Drosophila melanogaster: one gene and its partners. The protein of the gene in region 2 interacts with the protein of the main gene of each other region in a pairwise test. Each region holds a gene or a part of one and is shown on either strand. Other genes may lie near its edges. The genes, in order: Nop17l, Pp1-87B and NiPp1.

What was found.
Region 1: the proteins of Pp1-87B (region 2) and Nop17l interact in binary tests that used the Drosophila melanogaster proteins (3 or more experiments, as listed by UniProt).
Region 3: the proteins of Pp1-87B (region 2) and NiPp1 interact in a two-hybrid assay, tested with the Drosophila melanogaster proteins (3 studies listed by BioGRID).

What each region holds. Positions count from the first base shown.
Region 1 is NT_033778.4:7,804,631-7,808,385, forward strand, and holds the start of Nop17l (Nop17 like), read right to left. Parts: upstream 1,756-3,755; 5' UTR 1,596-1,755; intron 937-1,595; exon of another isoform or gene 471-936; intron 309-470; 5' UTR 107-308; coding exon 1-106. Other genes in the region: sax (saxophone), read left to right, coding at 1,908-1,968, 2,442-2,571, 2,686-2,721, 2,939-3,014, 3,078-3,736. UniProt on the Drosophila melanogaster protein: Required for cytoplasmic pre-assembly of axonemal dyneins, thereby playing a central role in motility in cilia and flagella.
Region 2 is NT_033777.3:12,424,088-12,427,842, reverse strand, and holds the start of Pp1-87B (protein phosphatase 1 at 87B), read left to right. Parts: upstream 1-1,925; 5' UTR 1,926-2,154; coding exon 2,155-3,063; 3' UTR 3,064-3,232; intron 3,233-3,326; 3' UTR 3,327-3,755. Other genes in the region: NANS (N-acetylneuraminic acid synthase), read right to left, coding at 7-789, 896-1,231. UniProt on the Drosophila melanogaster protein: Is essential for the regulation of mitotic chromosomal segregation as well as regulation of chromatin condensation during interphase.
Region 3 is NT_033778.4:17,003,407-17,007,161, forward strand, and holds NiPp1 (nuclear inhibitor of protein phosphatase 1), read right to left. Parts: upstream 1,744-3,755; 5' UTR 1,653-1,743; coding exon 1,624-1,652; intron 1,562-1,623; coding exon 1,347-1,561; intron 1,292-1,346; coding exon 1,077-1,291; intron 1,016-1,076; coding exon 445-1,015; intron 385-444; coding exon 263-384; 3' UTR 157-262; downstream 1-156. Other genes in the region: AsnRS-m (Asparaginyl-tRNA synthetase, mitochondrial), read left to right, coding at 1-132; CG6805 (uncharacterized protein), read left to right, coding at 2,355-3,101, 3,383-3,709.

The DNA of each region.
Region 1 (3,755 bases), on a different chromosome or scaffold from region 2:
CCTTGCCAAAGGCCTCCTGGAATCGGTTGAACTCGTCCCTGCTTATATCGAGCCGCTCATCGTCACAAAGTTTGGATTGTTTATTACGCGATCTAGATGCGGACATAGCTTTCTCGCAGGCACACTTCACTCACGGAGGGATCTCTTCGGTCTCCTCTTCTCTCCTCGGCACTTTTACTACACAAATACAAATTTTCTTATCACTTCGACGGGTTTTGATTTTTTGTTTGTTTCTATTTGTTAGGGGTTGCTCAGTTTTGGGCCACGTTTCCTTGGCAAATGCGTTGGGTTTCTATTTCTGGAAGGTTCTGAAAGTACAAATAAACATAGATGTAAGTACGGACAATCTTGTAAGATAATCAGCTATCTTATATTACGAATGTATAACTGCAATAACAACAAGACAAGTCGTTTGGGAAAAATTACTAGTTTTTCTGTTTCGGCTATACATATGTAAGTTCTATGTATACCTGGCTATTTTATAGTTTTGCAAATAAACCTTGAGGGCATGACTAAATCTTGCGGAACCTGGCGAAACTCTGGAAACTTTCCAATCGAATCTGAGATAAGCCAAGTAAGTACCAGGTCCCAAGGTTGCCCTAGGTCCTGACCATTTCGCAGCCAAAAAAAAACACCGAGCTGGCATTTAATCAAATTCTAATCAGCAGATAGGCAAATAAATATTAAATCAATGACGCAGAAAGGTCGCTGTCGAAAATCACCGGCTATCCGCCGGATTTACGGGCATTATGTAAGTAGATACACATGTGTGTAGATGACTACAAACTGACCACGAGTTTTTTTTTTACTTGTCGGCCAATAAATAAATAAACGAACTGCGTAGTTTGTGAAATTCTAGGAGAACGCGTAAATGTTTTCTGTTTTTTTTTTCGAGTTTTGGTGCGATGCTTTCCCGACGAGCGTTTTTATGAGAATGGGAGCGCTACGCCCGAAACGCCGGCAAATATTGGAGGCTCTTTGCGAGTCGAGCGGCCCACAGAGAGAGCGTCCTCTGCGCAGTGAGGGGCTTTTGATAAGCGCGAAAAAAACCACTTGCCCCAATTGTTTTTGTTTAGCGGGATTCTGCCCCCGCAGCCCCTGCGCTCACACACACATTATGCGATTTCTGGCGCAACCCAACTAATTGTACAATAAACGACCACATCTCTACACACATATGTATGTATATACAAAGATAATGTTTGTATTGCGTCTGCCAACTGATATTACAAACTTATGTACATACATATATGTGCAGGAGGGCGGGGGTGGTAATTGGGGGGTCAGTAAGATGATTCCCTACGGCGTGTGTATCTTCTCCATTGCAAGGAAAACGAGGAAAATTATAACAGTTACGTGACTAAAAACACATGTTTGCGCTGTGGGAGGGGGAAAACTCTGTCGTTTGATCGATACTAGCTGAAACCCATTGATTTTCTGGACAAACCGGTCGCAGTGGACATGAAAACCCTAACTAAGCAAATGTTTTGTTATATTCCATGACACCGGGTAGGTAAATCCGTTAATTTCACTCAGGAAAACAACTTAATGGCACGAAAACTCCTCCACTGAAGATCTCCTGCTTCTCCACTTACCTAAATTGAACACAATTATGCTTTGTGAACACAACGGCACTGAATAAAATAATTGTCTGTTAAATGGGCTCCTTTGCCAAAGACTCTTTGATGGGAGTTCGAGTTTGACGTTCTAGAAACTTTTCCGCTGACCGGCTGCTCGTGTTGGTGTGCGTGTTGTGCTTTGGTATTTTTACGCAGGGGATTTGGGAAATTTGAAGACCCGGTATTTTATGTGAAATATGTTATGTGCAGATGTGGGCCCTGGTCACACTGCCCGCTAGAAGTATATCGATAGGTTCCGATAGGCTCGGACAAATAACATTTCTAGCAATGGAGTCCAATATATATTTAGTTTTTCTATTGACGTTTCTGCTGTACAATAATGCCAGAGGTGGGCATCAATTAGTGTTAATCAATTACCAAGTGCTTGGTGAAGAGAGTGCGCAAGAGAAATTTCGATTTTATGGGGTTTTAGAGCCACATATAATGCCTTGAAAAGTCACTGAGTGTTTTGGGTTTGTTTTCATATGCTGCGGTTCTGGCCAATTGCGTTGCGTATTTGGCCAGGCCAAGGCGAAAAAAGTGCCCTCGGAATGCTGATTGGTGAAAGAAGCACCTGATGGATCCCACAGAATGTATTATATAAACGGATGTCGTGGGCGTTTGCAGCATAAGTGCATTTTCTCAATGATTTACCCACGCACACCACCGTTCTGTGTGTGTATACAGAACTTGCTGGGGCGCCTGTGTGCATGTGTGTGTGTGTGTTAGTGCTGGTGGCGTTTGTGTTGGTTGGGCCGTCCATGTGTGTACATATGTATATGCTATGTGCATATGGTTTAATGTGCATTTGTTATGTTTCAGCCGAAATCAGCGATCATCTGCGGGAGGACATACCGGACTTAGACATGGAGCTCTCCTCCGCCTCATCCGCCCATCTCAATGGCAAGGAGCTACCGGCCGTGCCACAGAACTCGGTGCAGACGCATCCCAGGTGATTATATCTTAAGTCTTGAGCCCATAGCTTGTAGCTCCCGCTTCCGCCCAAAGGCTTTGTATTGCTAATCTCATTTCCCTCCTAATTGCCATGCTGCTAATCCTTAATTAGGAGACACATTAAGAGTAAGCGCCGCATGAAGAGAAGGTAAAACCTACACGACTCATGAACTAAAACATCATAAACTGGTTAACTTTTAGTTAAAATTTTGAAAATATTCATAATTTTACTTAAAAAACCCCATTTTTTTTAAATATTTTATAGTATATTATACTTTTATACCCAAATGTTAACAATTAAAAGCTGCCCGTTTGCGTAACCGATTCTTCTTCAATCTTATTAAACTCTCTCTTTTTTTTATCAGATACAAATGCTACTCCTGCGAGCCGCCCTGTCGGGATCCCTATGAGTTTACCCACACCTGCCAGAATGCGATTCAGGTGAATACTCCACCTTAAACTTGATTAAAACTTAAATGTAACTTAATTTCCGAACTTCAACAGTGCTGGAAGTCGCGCACACGCGATGCCGATGGTCAGGTGCAGGAGTCACGCGGCTGCAGCACCTCGCCGGATCAACTGCCCATGATCTGCAGCCAGAACTCCTTGAAGATCAACGGGCCCAGTAAACGCAATACGGGGAAGTTCGTGAATGTGGTCTGCTGTGCCGGTGATTACTGCAATGAGGGAGACTTTCCGGAACTGCTGCCCTTCGACAGCAATGATGTGACGGTGATAACCGCGGATACCAGTAGCATAAGCAAGATGCTCGTCGCCGTTCTGGGTCCTTTTCTGGTCATCGCTCTGCTGGGCGCCGTGACCATCTTCTTCATTCGTCGTAGCCATCGCAAGCGTCTGGCTGCCTCGCGAACCAAACAGGACCCGGAAGCGTATCTGGTCAATGATGAGCTGCTCCGCGCCACCAGCGCCGGGGACAGTACGCTGAGGGAGTATCTGCAGCACTCGGTGACCTCCGGCTCGGGCAGCGGATTGCCGCTGCTAGTGCAGCGTACGCTAGCCAAACAGGTCACCCTGATCGAGTGCATTGGACGAGGCAAATACGGCGAGGTTTGGCGCGGTCACTGGCATGGCGAAAGCATCGCCGTGAAGATATTCTTCAGTCGCGACGAGGAGTCCTGGAAGCGGGAGACAGAGATATATAGGTGAGCAACAGATTATTTG
Region 2 (3,755 bases):
CATGATTCAATTGATTATACTATTCCCAAGTATGGGTTCATCCTCACCAATATTGTCTGCCAATTCCTTGCCTACCAAGTCCAAGAAATCCTCCGCTGTCAGGCCGCTGGGTTCACTGACTTTAATGGCCATATCTGCCAATTGCAACCTGTAACCCTTATTGAGATTCCTAGCTGCCACAATAGATTTGCCCAGTTTATTTCGGCAGGGCAGCTCGCACGGCAAAATGGTTTTAGACTCAACGTGCTGAAGAGCTGCCTCTAGTTCCTCATCTCCATTTAACTTTTTAACTATTTCTTGTGGAGGCATGGGAACTGAAGAGAGTTTGAAGTTGGTGATGGCTGTAGTCAGAGCTTTTAATTCTTGCGGCTCTAGGGAGCAGCGATGATCGGAGCCCTTCTGACTCTTGTCCAGCGTAAAGTGGCGCTCCACTATGCGTGCTCCCAGCAAGACGGCGGCCTGGCTAATGATCACTCCCAGCTCATGACCCGAGTACCCAATTGCCACATTGGGAAAGCGTGTCCTTAAGACGGATATCAACTGCAAGCTGCAATCTTTTGGGTCAGTTGGGTACGATGAAACGCAGTGCATTAGAGCGTAGTCCTCTTTTCCTGACTCCCGCATAGTTTGCACAATCCTCTCCACAGTTTGCATAGTCTGCATTCCGGTGGAGATCACCAGGGGCAAGTTCAAATTGGCGGCCTTTTTGAGAAGCGGAAAGTTGTTTGCGTCTCCGGAACCAATTTTGATGAAGGGAACATTTAGAGCAGAAAGGAACTCCAACGATCTCTGTTTAAAATAGCATATACACACATTAATAACTATTTAAGCAAGAAACAAGGGAAAAAAGGAATTGTTAGTAGTAGTAATTGGTTAACAATTAATTAATATCAACCTCATCCATGGCGGAAGCCGTAAAGTCCACATTTAACTCCTTGCAGTGGGCCTGCAGCTGGAGATACTGATCTTTGGAGAACTCCAGGTACTCCTTGTGCTCCCCGTACGTTTTTCCCCAGGCGTGATCACTGATATATTCGCGATCTAGAGCGGATCTCGTAAACTTTGCTGGCAAATCCGATTTTTGAAACTTGACGCAGTGGCAACCGGCTTTTTTGGCCTCCCATATCATTTTCTTCGCTGTTTCCACACAACCTTGGTGATTTTGGCCAATTTCCGCTATAATATAGACGGAATCAACTAATTTTCCGCTTATGATATCGTTTAACAGCATTTTGATTAAATTGAAACCCGCCTATTTAACAGTTAATTAAATGATTAGCGGGCGTAGGCAGGAAATGCATAGAGTATCGAATTATCGATAACAAGACATGAGCACATTTCATACAAAATTTTTACATAGTGTGATTGTTAATATATCTATCAATATATTATTTAGTTTTGTGAGAATTTAAGGGAAATTTGGCATTTTAAATCATAACTCATGTGGAAGTTATTCCAATAAGGAAAATGAATTAACCTATGTTCTGTAAACGAATATTCTTATTGGCTTATTTGAATTTCCAATGTATTTAAATATCCCCTTGTTACCGGTATATCGAATAGCCTCGCCAAATGCATCAGTCTCCCATCTCTTTTCCACAGTAAGTCATGCCAGGCGTGCCTGAGTGCAAGCGGGATGGCTAGTGTCCCCCTGATCAGGCTGCCACACCGCTGAAATAGAGTAACTGGACGCCATGCGTTTAATCGATTACTAACAGCAGTTTCGAGCCACTATAGGGTCGAGAAGACCCGTTTCGAATGAAAATATAAAAGTAGAGCTATTGCGGAACTCTTGCAATGGATTGGAAATGTCCTTAATGTAATAAGAGTAATATTACAGCAACTTCGTTATCGATTATGCACTATATTTGCATGTTATCGATTAGATAAGATGGCGTCTATTATCTGGCCATATCCGCGACTTCCGGCAGTGTGGCAACATCAGCTAGAAGCACACTCGCCATCCCGCCCGCACTCACGCAACAGCATACGAAGAAATTTTCATACTTGTTAGCTGTGAAAAGTATTTAGCAGAAATAGATTTCGGAAATTAAAGATTTCGAGGCTATTTCGGCGCTACCAACGATCGTTCGCGGTAACCTCGACACCCAACAGCAGCACTAGTGCACCAGATCCACACTTTCGCACGCAAACATGGGCGACGTGATGAATATCGACAGCATAATATCGCGACTTCTCGAGGTGCGTGGGGCACGGCCAGGTAAAAACGTACAGCTCTCGGAGGGCGAGATCCGGGGACTTTGCTTGAAGTCGCGCGAGATCTTCCTGTCGCAGCCCATTCTGCTCGAGCTAGAGGCACCGTTGAAGATCTGCGGCGACATCCATGGACAGTACTACGATCTGTTGCGTCTGTTCGAGTACGGCGGCTTTCCGCCGGAATCGAATTACCTGTTCCTCGGCGACTACGTCGATCGCGGCAAGCAATCGCTGGAGACGATCTGCCTGCTGCTCGCCTACAAGATCAAATACTCGGAGAATTTCTTCCTGCTGCGCGGCAACCACGAATGCGCCAGCATTAATCGCATATACGGATTCTACGACGAATGCAAGCGTCGCTACAGCATCAAGTTGTGGAAGACATTCACGGACTGCTTCAACTGCCTGCCAGTGGCGGCCATTGTCGACGAGAAGATCTTCTGCTGCCACGGTGGTCTCAGTCCCGATTTGACCTCCATGGAGCAGATCCGTCGCATTATGCGGCCAACCGATGTGCCCGACCAGGGACTGCTGTGCGATCTCCTGTGGTCCGATCCCGATAAGGATACCATGGGCTGGGGCGAAAACGACCGCGGCGTTAGCTTCACCTTCGGTGCCGAGGTGGTGGCCAAGTTTTTGCAGAAGCACGAGTTCGATCTCATCTGCCGAGCCCATCAAGTCGTCGAGGATGGGTACGAGTTCTTTGCCAAACGCATGCTGGTCACCCTGTTCTCGGCGCCCAACTACTGCGGCGAGTTCGACAATGCCGGCGCCATGATGTCCGTGGACGATACGCTGATGTGCTCGTTCCAAATCCTCAAGCCAGCCGACAAGCGTAAAAAGTAATATCACACAACTGCAGCACCACGAGCAGTCTTTTTCTATCTAAAACAGATCAATAAGAAATCCAAACAAGATACAAAAGATAAACACGACAAAAACAACCACAAACCCAACCACACAATCAACCAGAAATAAAATCCTTTGAAACAACACATCAAATGATGCATGAAACGTAAGTATGGGCTGCTGACGCAGAGTAACAAACTAGTGAATCACACTCTCACCCCAACCTTATCTCTGTTTTTGGTCACTTTTATCATCGGCAGCCGGGGCGAGTCGAAATCCACAAGAAATTGCACCATTAATTTGGTATGGAATAGCAGCGCCACGATCAAAGGACATCCCCAGAGACATCCCTTCCAGCAGATGACTGCAGTTTTCCCCTTCCACCCCACACCCATTGAGATTTAAATCGCAATTACAAACACATTGACAAATACCATGATTAAAAGCCACATATTTATTTGTAATAGCCCCCGTATATATATATATATATGTATATCTACCGACCGACCAACCATTCACCCACGCACACACATGTACACACATTTGAACACCAGCGCTTTTATAGGTTTTGTCCAAAATTTAAACACTAGGTTAATCAACTGACCGTTCGAGCAGAGCACCAAGCGCATAACCATGCAGATTAGATGGAAACGGAGCAGCAGAGGAGCGACTGGACGCCAGTCGGTCAC
Region 3 (3,755 bases), on a different chromosome or scaffold from region 2:
CGAAAGTATGGAGGAGTTCCAACTGGAGGATTTGGAATGGGCTTTGAGCGTTACTTGCAGCTTGTCACGGGCGTTAAAAACATTCGTGATGTGATACCCTTCCCCAGGTATCCACACAGCTGCAAGATGTGATCAGATAAAGATATTAAATGTTTTGTTTTACGTTAAAAGTCTAATAAACAAATATTACTCCAGAGTGTGTTGTCAATCATATGCTTGAGAAAATCGTAGGTGGAATCTTAATTATTTTGTTAATACGCAATTACAGCTGCCCCAACATGGGCTTGCGACCTGGCCATGCTTCCTTGGCGTATTTCTTTTTCTGTGGGCACAGCGAATCGCCTTCGCCACTCGAGTCATGCGGATCCTCACCAAAGCGACGAACTAAAATGGTGTTATAAACAATCAGTAAGTTTTTAAACAAATAGTCGCGAGAACTATTACCGTTTGCATTAGCGACGGCCAACTTTTGAGCCAATGTCGAGGTCTCCACAGCTTCGTCATAGACTGGCAGCACTTCAGGCGCAGGATTCGGGAGCAATAGGCCCAACTTGGAACCAATGCTCAGCGGGGAGATGGGCTCTAGGTCACCCTTGCCATGCATTTCGGCCGGTAGACCTTGATATAGGGAATTAGTAGGCGAGTGGAGCACCGCATTGGGCGGAGGCATTTCCCTATGCTGCTGCTTCATGTCAACTAGGCTCTGCTGGAACATTTGGTGTACATGTGCGGCATTGGCACTGGACAAACTGCTGTTGCCCGAATGGATGCCCATATGATTGACGTCGCAGCGAGCCCTCTTGGCGGGCACCACAGTGGTTTGTACCAAGTTCCTGAAGCGTCCCACATTAGGATCCACATCCTCAGGATTGATGACAATCTCCTCATCGTTAAATGTGACATTTCGAGTGCGCCGTCCCTGTTTCAAGGCGTTTTGCTTTCGCATATTGGTATCATCATCGATGCCCAGCATTGAGATGCGCCGATTGTGGGCTGTGTTGTATTCTGTGAGATTCTGCAGGATAATGGAAGGTTAGTTTACATAGTATTTAGCTTTTCTTTTCAACCAAACGCACATCAAGCTCCGTTTGGCTTTCGGGTAGGCCCAGGAGAGCTCCATCGCTGGTTTCACTGAGCGGCAGGTCTTCCATGATGTTGCTGTGGTGGCCAGAGGGTCGTTCCCTGAGTATGTAGTTCCGGGTAGAAGCCCCAAAGTGGAAGGTGCTATTAATCTGCAGCTGTGTGGGCTTGTGCGCTTCCAATCTGAGTGTTCCAATAAAGGTGCCATGAGCTGTCAAAAGTAAATGGATAAGCTTACTCCGAATCCCAGATATCTTAGTACCTACTGGACCCCAGATCCACGAGGTAGGCTATGTTGAGGTGCTTGTGGTAGACAAACGCCGAGTGGACCCGCGAACAAGAGGCATGGTCTATGCAGAAGTCGTTCATTTGACTGTTGCGACCAAATAGATAGCATCTTTTTTCATCCACCATCAGTTTTTGTACTAGTTTGTCGTCCTTTAGCACATCCAGATGTAAGCCAGTGGGCGGTTTTCCAGCCCTAAAATAAATAAAATGCTACGTGATTTTGTGGCAAGGCAGCGGCTGAATTTGACAACGCACCAACTGGGTATGTCGTAGCTGTTAGCCATACTTTTAACTTAAGTAAAATAGTTCGGAAGGTAAGTTTATACAAAGTGTTTATTTTTATGAAAAATCCTTAGCCAGTGTGTACACACAATTGACTAGTTGCCGATAATATCGGTTTAGCACAAGCAAATGCAAAGGGGCATTCTCGCGTAAAAAAAAAAACAATGAAATAAGAGTATTATTATTTTAAAGGAACTTACGCACAGTACAACTTTTAATCTTATATCTTTATATTTCTTAAATTGATTTTTGGCTTTTATAATATCTAATGTGTTTCAAATAAAAATCTAAATTAGATGAGAAGCTCATGTTAGCCGATGTTTTCGATGAGCTTCAGAGCTCCGTTACTATCGAGATACCATAAAATTTTTGCCGCCGCCTAAGGTATATTTAAATAGTTGTGCTGCGGTCACACTAAGCTCACGCAACGGACGGACAAATAAACATAAATAACGACATCTGAGTATTCTATAAATAATACGGGCAACTAGCGCTTCCTAGTCCAATTAAAGCGGCTTAAAAAATTAGTGCTGAAGAATTAACGGTTACATAAATGAAAGTTGCGTGTGCAAAACGCCTTTCGCTTTATTTGCTGATGCTGCCAAATCCGTAAACCTGTTTTGGATGCCCATGAACTCATCAACAGCCACCTTGTGACGTCCAAAACAACAAGTATTAATCATAGATAATTAGACGGCGGAAAAATGGTTACGGCCACGGCGATTGCGGATCTGTGCATCTTCCTTTTGACCTGGAACGTGGGCACCCATACGCCGCGAAATCAGGATCTGAGCTCCCTTTTGTCCCTTAATGGCACCACCACTTGTCCGGATAACCAGCTGCCCGATATCTATGTAATCGGATTCCAGGAGGTGAGCACCACACCGCAGGTGCTAAAAATCTTCAATGACGATCCGTGGGTGCTGAAGATCGCGGACTCTCTGAGCGATCACCAGTTCGTAAAGGTGGACTCGAAGCAGCTGCAGGGAATTCTTATAACCATGTTCGCACAGCACAAGCACATCCCGCACATGAAAGAAATCGAGACAGAAGCCACGCGCACGGGACTTGGAGGGCTGTGGGGCAACAAGGGTGCCGTAAGCATTCGACTTTCGCTCTACGGAACTGGCGTCGCATTCGTCTGCTCCCATCTGGCGGCGCACGATGAGAAGCTGAAGGAGCGCATCGAAGACTATCACCAAATCGTGGACAATCACAAGTACAATGCGCAGGGATATCGCCGGATATTCGATCACGACTTTGTCTTTTGGTTTGGCGATCTTAACTTCCGTCTCTCCGGCGATATGTCCGCTTGGGATGTCCGCACGGATGTGGAGAACCAGCGATACGCTGATCTGCTCAAGCTCGACCAGTTGAATCTGCTCCGGGAGAAGGGAAACGCCTTCAGCTTGCTGGAGGAGCAGCAGCCCAACTTTGCGCCCACTTTTAAGGTAACAATCTAATATACAATCTTATTATCTCTACAGTCAAAGTTTGCCTTGAACTTTCTAATCTTAATCTAAATAATGTATATAGGGGTGGGTGTAATTAATTTTATCTGCACTTGAATTTTTAATTTCCGCCAATCACTTCATCAATCAATCACTTCATTCGGCTCCACAGATTTCATGAGAAAAGCAAAATCCAACTAATTTATGAGGCAATATGTCGAATGTAATTAATTCGCCTTATCTCTAGCACCCATATAAAGTTCATTTGATTTTCCTTGCAGTTCGTGGAAGGCACTAATGACTACAACTTGAAGCGGCGACCCGCCTGGTGCGATCGGATTTTGCATCGCGTGCAGAGCAACATTTATCCGGGCATTACCCTGAGTGCCAACCAGCTGTCTTATCAGTCCCACATGGACTACACTCTCTCCGACCACAAGCCCGTATCGGCGACATTCAACTACAAGGTCGAGGCTGCCAACCAGACCTACACCGACGAGGAGCTCCACGAAATGACGCACGGATCTGCCTCATCTCCGGCGACGCCAAATGTTAGTCTATCCTTCGCATTTGTTGTTTTTGTAGCTGTGTCCTATACTCAACTTTGATTTCGCTTCTTTTGTAGTTATTTATCGCTGAACTAGAGCAATGGTA